Linked DNA regions of Drosophila melanogaster. The protein of the gene in region 2 purifies or fractionates together with the protein of the main gene of each other region. This does not show direct contact. Each region holds a gene or a part of one and is shown on either strand. Other genes may lie near its edges. The genes, in order: CG31200 and rdhB.

Region 1 (3,780 bases), 1.6 Mb from region 2:
ACGTGTCCTGGTCGTCGTTCAGCAAGTCGTCGTACGGAGCACGGTACTTGTACATGTACTTAATGCAGTGGGTGGCCCCCACCCACGACGCGGTCATCAGGATGGTCACGCACACTCCGAAGTACATCTGTAAAGACATCGATCGCATAGCATTAAAATTGAGTGAATGATTCATAAGTTTTCCCACCTTCCGGGCCAGTTCGGAGCAGCATGACTCCTTGCAGGCCTGCAACTTTCGGAAGCGAAGCTCGGACTCCTCGCCGTGCCCGTTGGCTTGCTGCTGCTCCGTCTGGGTGTCGCTGGAGTCGCCGCCTCCGAAGTGGTGCGCCGCATTGTGGCTGCCCGGTGCGCTCGTTGGTGTGTCCGCCGGGATGATGACCACCTCATTGGGGTCCTGTTGGCTCGACGATATCGAGTCTTGGTGGGTTATTTGCGGATTGCTCGAGGTGAGCACGTTGCTGAACCCGCAGCTGCCCGCTGCTCCGCTGCCACTGCCGCCGTTTTGGGCAGACGAACCGGGGGCCACTGCCGTGCTGCTGCTGGCTCCCGCCCCGCCGGTGCTATTGTTGCTGTACGGTCCATTCGTCGAGGAGTCGCCGGTGACCACCACGGAAGGAGTGCGCACTCTTTTCGGATTGAAAATAGCTGGAATTTCGCCGTCGCGCGTCATGCTATCATCATTACCGAGCTCCTCTGTCGCTCATAGTGATCCGGTCCTGCAAAATCAATAAATCATAAATACCAGAATCTAGCAAGCTTATTCTTTATGTATATTTTTGGCCTTAATATCACCTTCCATACCTAAATGTATGCCTTCACTTTTGAACGCAGAGTAAACTTAAGGTTGAAACTGGACTTGATGTACTTTTTAAAGGAAGCAATAGTCCTCGGCCCGCGGCCTAATAAATGATTCAGTTCGATTCGACCAGCCATGTTCCAGCACTGCTGCAAAGGCTAAGCAGTCTCGAATCAGGCTGTTCACGTGCTTCCAGCGATTAAAGATTGAGGAACACGCAAATGGGGGGCCATTTCTCGACTCTTTACAAGTGAAAGGCGCACCCAAAGCCCACGCAGCTTGTTCAGGGTCCGAGCAATTTGCATGGGCCCCACTTTTTACCACTGCCCTCATCCCAGGATATAGCGTTGGCCAAACTCAAGGCTAGGGCAGCCAAGTTTTACGAGCACCGCCGCACAACCAGCCAACCAACCAACCAACCAAACAGCCTGCCAGCCGGCCGTTCATTAAAGTCCAGACCCGACCAGGAGCACATTGATTGGATGGCCACAAAGGCGAGGGACGGGCTCATAACAATGCGAATTATGAACGCCCCAGCTCAAGCAGGTCAAGTTGAGTGGACAATAAACTGCCAACCGGATCTCGCCGGCAATTTGTAAGCGTTCTTAGTAGAGTGTTAAGTCCAGCCCCCCACCACCACTACTACCACCAGGCCGGATGAGTTACAATGTCCTTCGGTGTCCTTCACCTTCGCATCCCATCGAGCAGCTTGTGCGCTTGCCTTCGATAATCGTATTCTAATTGAAACATTAATTATTCAACCTAGTTGAGGCTCCTAGCAGGCTCCCAGGGTAAGAGGGCGCGAGGGGAGATTCCAAGAGTCTAATGGCTATATAATGAAGGTCCTAATAATTGCCTGTAATTTTAAGCGGTTAAGAATAATATTCCATCGATTTCCAAGCAGTCGAGCAAAACCAAAATGATTTGAAATCCGCAACTCTGGCATTTTGCACAATTATTTTAATATGCCTAATATGGGACTATATACAGCCGATATGCCGTCTATTTGAGTTAATAAAATATTTTAATTTAATTTATGATTGGGGAACTCCAATACTAGTTGTAAGTTGAAGGTGAGTTAGGTCTGTGAGCAAATTTTGTTGGCTAAGAAGTGGCATATCTTCATATCTTAATATCTTTAATATGACTTCAAAGAAAGTAGTCAGACTAAGGAAGATTCAAAAAGATTAAGGTTTACCAAAAATGCTTGATAGTCACACTGAGAATCTTAATAATAAACAACGAGAGAGCGGGAGATTGTTAATTAATTATTCACAGCAAAAGGAAACTGCGCTCTACGCGATCTCATACTATTCAATTCAATTCTGTTCGATTAGTTAACTCTGAGCACTTGAGCACATCGTCATAAAAATGCTTCACAGCGGAAAACTTGTTCAGCTTTTGACTCTGGCTTGGCTAGGCGGTTAGTAAAATTGAAACAGTTGTATGTTTACTACGAGTATTTATTAAAAACGCTATATACGTTTTCAGCATTGACGATGGCAGAATTTCGATGCGGTCGTCTGGATGAAAAGCTATTGTACACCACCAACGAGCAGGCGGAACCCTCCGAGAATCCCTGGGTGGGCATTCTGCTGGAGGATCAGGGTCAGTTAACTTTAGAAGTGTTAACTATGAAAAGCCCCCTTCTAAAGCCCCAAGTTAATAATTAATAACATGACCTATGCTTTTGCTAATGCCCTTTGTGTCCACCTTCGATGATTTTCTAGGAAATCGGTACGAGAATACAAGGTGCTCCGTAGTTATTATTAACGAGCTGCACATCCTCAGTACTGCGACGTGCGTAAAGCGCTTTAGCCAACGATCCGGAGACACCAAAGCCGTGGCAATGTTGGGCGTTTGGGACGAGACTGACTCCCCGGAGGAGGAGCTGTCGTGCAACGACAAGGACTTCTGTGTGCCGGGGCCTGAGCTGTACAAGGTGGTGGAGATCAAGGTCCATCCGCAAACGGACAAGGACACGGGGGACAACGACTTGGCCATCCTTCGGCTGGAAAAACCAGTCGAGTGGACCAACTGGGTTCAGCCGATCTGCTTGGAGGGCACTTCGGAACCGGAAACGCTGACCAATCGCAACCTGCACTACACCGGATTCAACCATATGGCCTCGGAGAAGGGCAAGGGGTTGGCCATGACAGTATCTACTCAAAAGTGCAAACAATTGACATCCTCCAGCGTCCTAGTACCGGTGAACCAGCTGTGCGGCTATCCCGTGAAGAGGACCAAGTTCTATCCGGGAGCACCACTGATGGACATCGATGTGCGAGATGAGAAGCCGCACAACTTCTACCTGGTGGGCATTCTGGTCCGGAACGTAGATGCCGGACAGGCTACCACTCAAGTCTATCAGAATGTCCGACGCGCCCGCTCCTGGATAATGGAAAATTTGAAGTAGAAAGTACAACTTGTTATGTGAATACTCAATAAACTATTCAACATGAGGAAGTAAAATGTTGTGGGTTCAGTGAAATAACTGATGCATCGTGACGGGAACTGCCCAGGGATTCGCATCGGAAACGGGTTTTCGATCGGTAGCCGTAATGTAATCTTACACCATTAATTAGATACGTAGAATAACAGGTAGTTGGAAGAGTTAGTTGAAAATTTTAACAAACATTACACGGAAAGAAATCAACTCATTCTTGGAGAAGGGAAATGTGCTGATCAAATAGTATTAGTAACACTAATAGTAATATTTAAAATCTTAAAATATTTTATATAAAGGTTTCGAAATACACTTCACTATTGATTTCATATATATTTTAAAAAATTGTAAAAACAATTGTATTTTCGTTCTAGTGTTCCTGCTAAGCTCTATCGATCATAAGCTTCTGGGTAAATCCCCTGAGCAACATGCATTGTCTGTTTTTCCAGCTCCCAGTCAGTTGACTTTGAGCTGCGCTTCAGAATGCTTGGTAGAATCGCAGTTTTATTATTGCTCGTCGGTCTTTTTGGCCCGGAAG
Region 2 (7,171 bases):
ATTCGCTTTTTCTACCTCACGTTTTTATTGGAGTCAGTTCAGTTTTTTTTAATCATAAGCCCCAGTGTGACCAATAAGCGAAAGCTGTGAAATATCGATGTTTGTTTCGTACCATCGATTTTGGGGGTAGCACGAGTAATCGATGTTTTGGTGGATAACTCTGCTAGAGCGAAGCGAGCCAAATCAAGAGTGGTTGTTGTACTCGCTAGCGATAGCTGTACAGCCCTGGTCTTTTGACTCAATCTGGCAGCCCTACCGCAAGGTGGCAACTCCACTACATGCGCGGGCAATTCCAATTCAAATGAATGAATGTATAAATGCATTCATAATGTTGCCAAACTATTTACACGCATTTAATGTTATATCGATTAGAGAATATGCAAAATATTATAAATGTTTAATTATCGTTTTATTGCATTTTTATGTTATTTGTAATAAGATGTTAATACAGATGTTATCTACAGATAACATCTTAAAGAATATAAAGTGTCGAAACAGTTGCTTGAAATGCAATAATGTAATTTTTTATATTTAAAAATATGTACATTTGTTCTCTTATTACATAGAAGAACATATACAAAATGTACAAATAATATCGTTTTGGGTAAAATGTAATTCTCTTGAAATTCAAACTAAAATTCAATCGACCTTCCGCATCTGCTGCAGGATGATGTCCTCCACCTGGACGCCATCGGGAGTGTTCAGCGCATACAACACGGCCTTGGCCACATCCCTTGCCTGCAGTTTGGGCAGCTCGGCTACCGCCTGCGAGTAAACACTAAGGAAATCCGTGTCTACCATGCCCGGGCAAATGCTCTGCAATGGAGGGATAAAAATGGAGAGGGTAACCAATGAGCAGACGCGTCATGTTTGCCGCATTTCCCGAGGATTAAGATGGAGGATGAGGCGCGCCATGTATGCACTGCATTTAACTTACCGTTAATTTAATATTTAATTTGAGAAAATGTATTTCCTGGCGCACCGTTTGGCAGAGGGCCGTAATTGCATGCTTCGTGGCCGGATAAACGCTGAATAAGGGCACCGGCACTTCCGGAATCCGATGGCCAAGCACGCTGTTGTCAAATGTTGTCCATACACATGTCCAGAGCAGAGCGAAGGAGGAGGCGGAGGAGTAGCATGAGCATCGTCCACATGCCAAGGTATGGCGGTGCGTCGGGGATGGAAAATAAAGACAAAGCGGGGTCACAAACGGCGGGTGTGCGTGGGTAAATAAAGTCAACACAACGGATTTCAAGCACTTAAAACGGCAACAAAAAACAAGTCGCCGTCGAACACCTACGGAAAATGATGGTCAGCAGCTGACGGGACATTTTTGCGTGCATTTTATGCAAACATTGCGTAAACTTCTTTTAATTTTACCCCCACACCTGACGAAAAAGCAAGAAAAGACTTAAAAACTTGTGCTATAATATTTTGATTGAATGCGAAATTTTTGGAAAAATAAGGGAATTATAAGTTACAACTAGTTTTTATATTTGCTACAAGATATTTAATTTAATTAAACTGATATTTTTATGAAGGCATTCATTCGAGTATCCTTTTTTTCGAGTGCATTTGGAAGAGCACGGGGTGGTACTTACGGCTCTGAGCCGGGGGCATTAAATGCAAACAATTGCCAACGTTGCTGCAGATGCTGGGCGGCCGGCATACCCTTGCAGTTTTTAATTAATTAAGTCTTAATATTATTGCACTGACATTAAGCGAAATGCATATGGACGACCGCCCAACTTCCACTGCCCACCTGTCAAGCCCCTTGACACACACACAGACACAGGCCCCCCGAAACGTCACATGCTCATTAGCAACGCCTCGGCTACGTTTCCAGAACGGAATTCTCTTTGACTCGCAACGCCGCCAAATAAATACATTTTCTCATTAATTAACGTTTGCAAAGTTCGAAGTCTCAGTTTCCACTGCCCTTTCCCGCTTTCCTTGCCTGTCCGCATTGCTCAATTGTATTCGATTGCGGACAATACGCTTGTGTCCGCTGCTCATTATGCCGGAAAAATGCGTATGAAAATTCCGGGAAATGCGTATTTACGGTGTGTCTTTAATGCACTTCGATGATGCACTTTCCGATTGCGTGGTAAAAAGTGGTAGGAATGTGGAGGTTACTCGAGAGCATATTAAAATGGTTCGTTAAGGTTTCCCTATGGTAAGTCTACATATCATGTTCTTACACAGCTAAATAAAAGAAGAACTACAAAGCTAACAAGAATCTCTACTTCAAAATAGTTAAATGAACATTTCAACATTTTTGACCAAGATAAAGCGTCACTGAAATCGTTTCAAGGCATTATATTAATCCAATTTTGAGCTTGCAATCTATTTTGCGCACACAGATTTCTGTTCGAATCGAATTGCCATCTTTGCGTAAACTAAAAGCCAATCAATAAATAAGATTGACGTTGGCTTTGTTGAATTTGCCTTAACATTTCCGCATGCTTACTGATTTTACAGCCATGAAAAAACCAAACATACACACACACAGAGACACTCACGCATGCACAACAAGCCGGTCAGCCCACCCACAGTGCGTATACGCAATTATTCAATTTTGCCTTTTGCTCATGGGCAATAATTGCTATCTGGTTGGGTGGGTGTGCGTATGCACTCAAGTAAATTTCATTAAAATTAAATCAATGCAATTTGAAATTAAAGCCATAGCGCAAATCAAACATGCGGATTTTAAATGCGGTACGCATTGGATTCCATGAAATAATAAAAATCACATCGACGACTGCCAATGGAGGAATGCAAAATGCAAATGCGAATGCAATACGCATTCGGCTTAATGCAAAATACTTAATTATGTTGAATAATTGAGTTGTTGTTGCTGTTGTTCTGGGCAAACACATTGGCCATGCAAAGCTTTTAATGCACCACCCGCACCGCAAAAACACGATGCGTGCCCCCACCGCGCTCAGCATTTAAATATCAATAAGTGTTTGTGCTGTTGTGCTTGTTTGTTTGCCGCATGGCTTTTAATTTAATTTAAATAACGCGGCGACCACTTCGAGCCCTTCGCTTTTGAGCGCATGCCTTTCGTATGCAAAATGCATTGAGCTGACCAACTCTGAGCGACACGGCTATTGACTGACCGCCTGCATTGTTTGCACTTTCATTAAGCCCCGATCGGCTGAACCCTTCGTCTAAGCCCGCCCTTGAGCCACCCACCACCATCCAACACAACCCACTATCCGCCACTCCGCCACCCAACACCATGGAGCCTACAGGACATAATTTGGCAAATATTTTGCCACTCAAGGCAGCAGCTTTTGGTCAGTTGTTTGCCCAGCACAAGCAAAACTATAAAGCAAATATGTACGAAAATGATTTACCTCCAACTCCATCGCTGTATGTATGCACACTGCCTTTGTCCGGCTCTGCACTAATTTCGATTTAAGCCCAATTTTCCTATTTCAGCTGGGTAAACAGCGCTCCCGAAATGATAACAATTACCCCCGAACAGCCAATTGTGCCTCTGTGTGTGTGTGTGTGTTTTGCAGTTGTGCTAATTTTGTAGCTCTATCTAATTGTCTCGAGTCAATAGACAATCCTTTCAAGTATAGCTTTCAATTGATGCCTCCCTCCTTTTAGTTGGCAACGAACACTTTCTACGGAATTGGCTTTAATTAAGGAACATTAAGTCGAGCTGTCAAAGTGTTGCAAGCAGAAAGGAAAGCAAAATGGTCATTGAACTTTACCCAAGTTTGGTATAAGGCTTAAGTGACAGCAGAAATATTGCATGCTTATTGAGAAATACTTAATAGGAAATATATAAAATATTTCTTTCATTTAACCTTTTGAAATTCAAGAGGACATTCCAGCCCTGCGGTATATACTTTTGGCCATGGTGGACACTCACCTGTTCATGACCACAATGTGACCGCGAACCTTGACCGCAGCCATGTGTTTCAGTGCCTCCCGCAGGCAGCTGGCGGTGGCCACCACATTCGTGTCGAACAGTTCCTTGATGTCCTTGGTGGGGGATTCTGAACTGAGGAATGTAGTCTCGGCAGTTCAGATTCTTTACGCTGCACTTACCGCTCAGGAAGTTGGCCTTCAGGATGCCAGCGTTGCAGATGAGCACATGAATGGCCTGGAATTTTTCACGAATCCAGTTAAAAGCACTGGCCAACTGCTCTTCATCATTGAGGTCACATTGCCGGGCAAAAATCTTTCCAACGCCGGTCACTTGATCCCTGAGTGCCTGTTTGAAGTCTCATAAAATGTATTCTATGGATGTATATTAATTAGTATTGGTCTGCACCTCAATGAGTTCCACTCGACGAGCTAGGCCCACAACTACCATTCCGGCATTGGCCAGTTCTATAGCTGTGGTAGCTCCAATGCCCACGGAGGCTCCAGTGACAACCGCCACCTTGTTGCGCCAGTAGAAATTATTTTCCATGATCAGAGATGTGTTAAATCTGAAGAGACAAGATGTTGTTTAAGCAAAGATAACCTTATGGCTTCGATTGCCAGTGACAACTGATGTTGGAAGCTGAAGGCGATCACTGAAACGTCTATCACAGCTGCAACACAGTGGCACAGTGGGTCTTGTTAATATGGAAACATAGTAAATGCCGTGCACTCTACATATTATTTAATAGTTAAAGTATAGGATTATATCAAAGCTGGGTTTATAGAGGAAATTGAGAAAGTATTAGGGTCCTTCAAAGTATATTTTTTTTATTTCAAGACACTAGAAATTTTGTGATGTAGATAAACATATCTTATTGTTTAAGCCAAACATCTCTCACAAGGCTTTAAGAATTAAGGAAACATTAATTTAGTATATAGGCTTTTAAAGAGTGTTCTTTATTTTTATCGTCGGCGTCTTTTACCATTGGGCTTGGATCATGGGGCACGCGTCGCTCTGGCTGAAGTCGGATTTAATTGATTGCAATTTACTGGCTGTCGTACTGTTCGTACTTGCATTGTGCGACTGTAGTTTGTAGTTTGCATTTGCCTAGTTGCACTTTGTGCCTCAGCCTCCGCTTTTCCCTTTCCCTTTTCTCATTCATGGAGCATTGCACTCGTTTGCATTTCACTTCTAGTTTAAGCTATCTTTTTTTATGCATTTTCTTTTGTCTGCTTGGGTTTTTGCTGGTCGGTTTTAGCGGATATTTGATACCAAATGAAAAATCTCATTTCGCTGTGCGGCTTTGGTTTGTTGTCACTAATCTCTCGGGCTGACACTTGAGGATTATTTTCATATTTCTATTCACAAAACCGAGCACTTGGAGTGGGTGGAAAATGGCTTGGCAACAGTGGAAAAGCTTCTTTTTTTCCAACACTCGGATCTTTGTATACTCTTAACACGTAGTTGTTTTATTTATGAAAGTGTTTTATTCTTGCGATTTTATCAATGAGGTTTGAATATTTATTTAGGAATTTGTTATGATTTTAGCCTGTGTAGTTATTTATTTCTTAGGGAACATTGCGTTAGAAATGAAAAGGGAAATTTTGTAAGCTTTGAAAAACACTTTACAAATTAAAATGTATCTAGCTTAATACATTTAAGCCTGTGAAATTAGCATCTCACTTAATATTCATATGCAATTCTTATTCCGTTTTTGCTTATCAAATATTAGCAACCATTCTGTCCAGCAATCAATCGCCGAATCGACAAACACGAAAATATGCATTATCGATAATCTGGCATAACATATTCCATTATATTTTGATAGATTCATCAGCAGGCCATGAATATTCGCCCGGCCATTCGAATTCGCTTTCCAGTTGAACGAGCTGCTCGGAGCCTTATCGTATTTTTGTAATTACCAAACAACAGCTTGGTCAAATGGGAAGTGAATGTGGATGTGGGGGGGAAAATGCCACTTGGCTGGCTTCTTGACTATGGCTCAGTGACTCTGCTGGCAAATCAAAAATCAACTTTATCTCAGCTAGTGGAAAGTATTTGCATGTCAGTCTCAACTGTAGATGCAACCAAAAAATGCACTTAGACTGGATTTGTGGTGCGGGACAGGAGCTTGTATACGTTGCAGTTGACAGCCATAAAATGCAGGTGCAGGAGAATGAGTCCTTTGTGGCTCAATGGCTGCAATCGGCCAGAAGTCAGGCAATTGTTTCGATTGGCCGGCCATAAATTCCCTAGCATTTATCTCGTACAGTTGTGCTGGCTGTTAACTAACAGCCGCCCAAGCCATGCAAATCAATTGCAATGCAGCTGGGGAATCAGCCCGGCAAGGCGACGGAATTTATGGGCCATAAACCGAAAGTGGCCAGAACGAGATGCTGCAGTCTTGTCTATGGAGTCATCAAAGTGCCAGGCGTTTTGGGGTGCATTCAAAAGTACAATGCAAATACTTTCTTGGCACTTTAAGTGCACTTTCTTCACTTGAAAAAGAGTACATTCTTTTTTCGTTGTCCTAATTTCTTTATAAAAAATCGATTTAAAAGAATCAAGATCTAGATGAAAGAAAGAAAGCGCAGGCCAAGTATCTAGAAATCTAATATAACATATAATCCCAATAACAAACATTTTTTTAAAGTGTTTCCATCTGATAGTGCCAATGAAAATTGATAGAAAATTGGCGCACAAACTGTTTTTAGTTTGGCAACAGCTTACCCGATTTGATTTCCTTTTTTGGCCAACTTGTACACCGTAGTTGGGTACTGCTAAAATAGAGTGCGAGGAAGTGGTTTTTCCGGGCGGGTGTTTCAAATAAATGAAAAGCTCCCGTCGTGGCAGAATTTATTGTTGCATACTTTTCGGCTCAGCGCCCCGTGGCATGCAAAAAACCAACCAACGATTTTGGGGGTGTGGAAAAGAGTTTTCTGTGCAAACATGTGTAGCCTGACCTGCTACACCCCCCCCCCCCGCAGTACTAGCCCCCGCCCTCTGGACCTGTTTATTTTTCGGTTAAACCCAAATATGCATTTTTCATGGCCTCGACGGACTTTCCATCCACTGCATCCGGTCTTATTCCTTTTTCAATTGCAATAACATTTGTCGGAGGCGAAACTTAAATTGCATTTACCAGCATTTTTGGCAATTAGCGCTTACGTTTTTACTATACGCATATCGCTCATCCGCCATGTGGGCTTTTAAACCGAATAAAAAACGTATAGCACAGTTGTATATGGAAACAATGGCCACGTTAAAATGCGTTTAAAGTAC

The links.
Region 1: the proteins of rdhB (region 2) and CG31200 purify together in Drosophila melanogaster (affinity purification with mass spectrometry, with the first as the bait; one large-scale study listed by BioGRID). This does not show direct contact.

What each region holds. Positions count from the first base shown.
Region 1 is NT_033777.3:20,743,711-20,747,490, reverse strand, and holds CG31200 (uncharacterized protein), read left to right. Parts: upstream 1-2,152; 5' UTR 2,153-2,167; coding exon 2,168-2,219; intron 2,220-2,287; coding exon 2,288-2,404; intron 2,405-2,526; coding exon 2,527-3,212; 3' UTR 3,213-3,257; downstream 3,258-3,780. Other genes in the region: CG42322 (uncharacterized protein), read right to left, coding at 1-127, 188-670; CG31199 (uncharacterized protein), read left to right, coding at 3,726-3,780.
Region 2 is NT_033777.3:22,349,594-22,356,764, reverse strand, and holds rdhB (retinol dehydrogenase B), read right to left. Parts: upstream 5,070-7,171; 5' UTR 4,872-5,069; intron 4,521-4,871; exon of another isoform or gene 4,455-4,520; 5' UTR 4,436-4,454; coding exon 4,295-4,435; intron 4,235-4,294; coding exon 4,069-4,234; intron 4,017-4,068; coding exon 3,890-4,016; intron 1,074-3,889; coding exon 938-1,073; intron 817-937; coding exon 640-816; 3' UTR 501-639; downstream 1-500.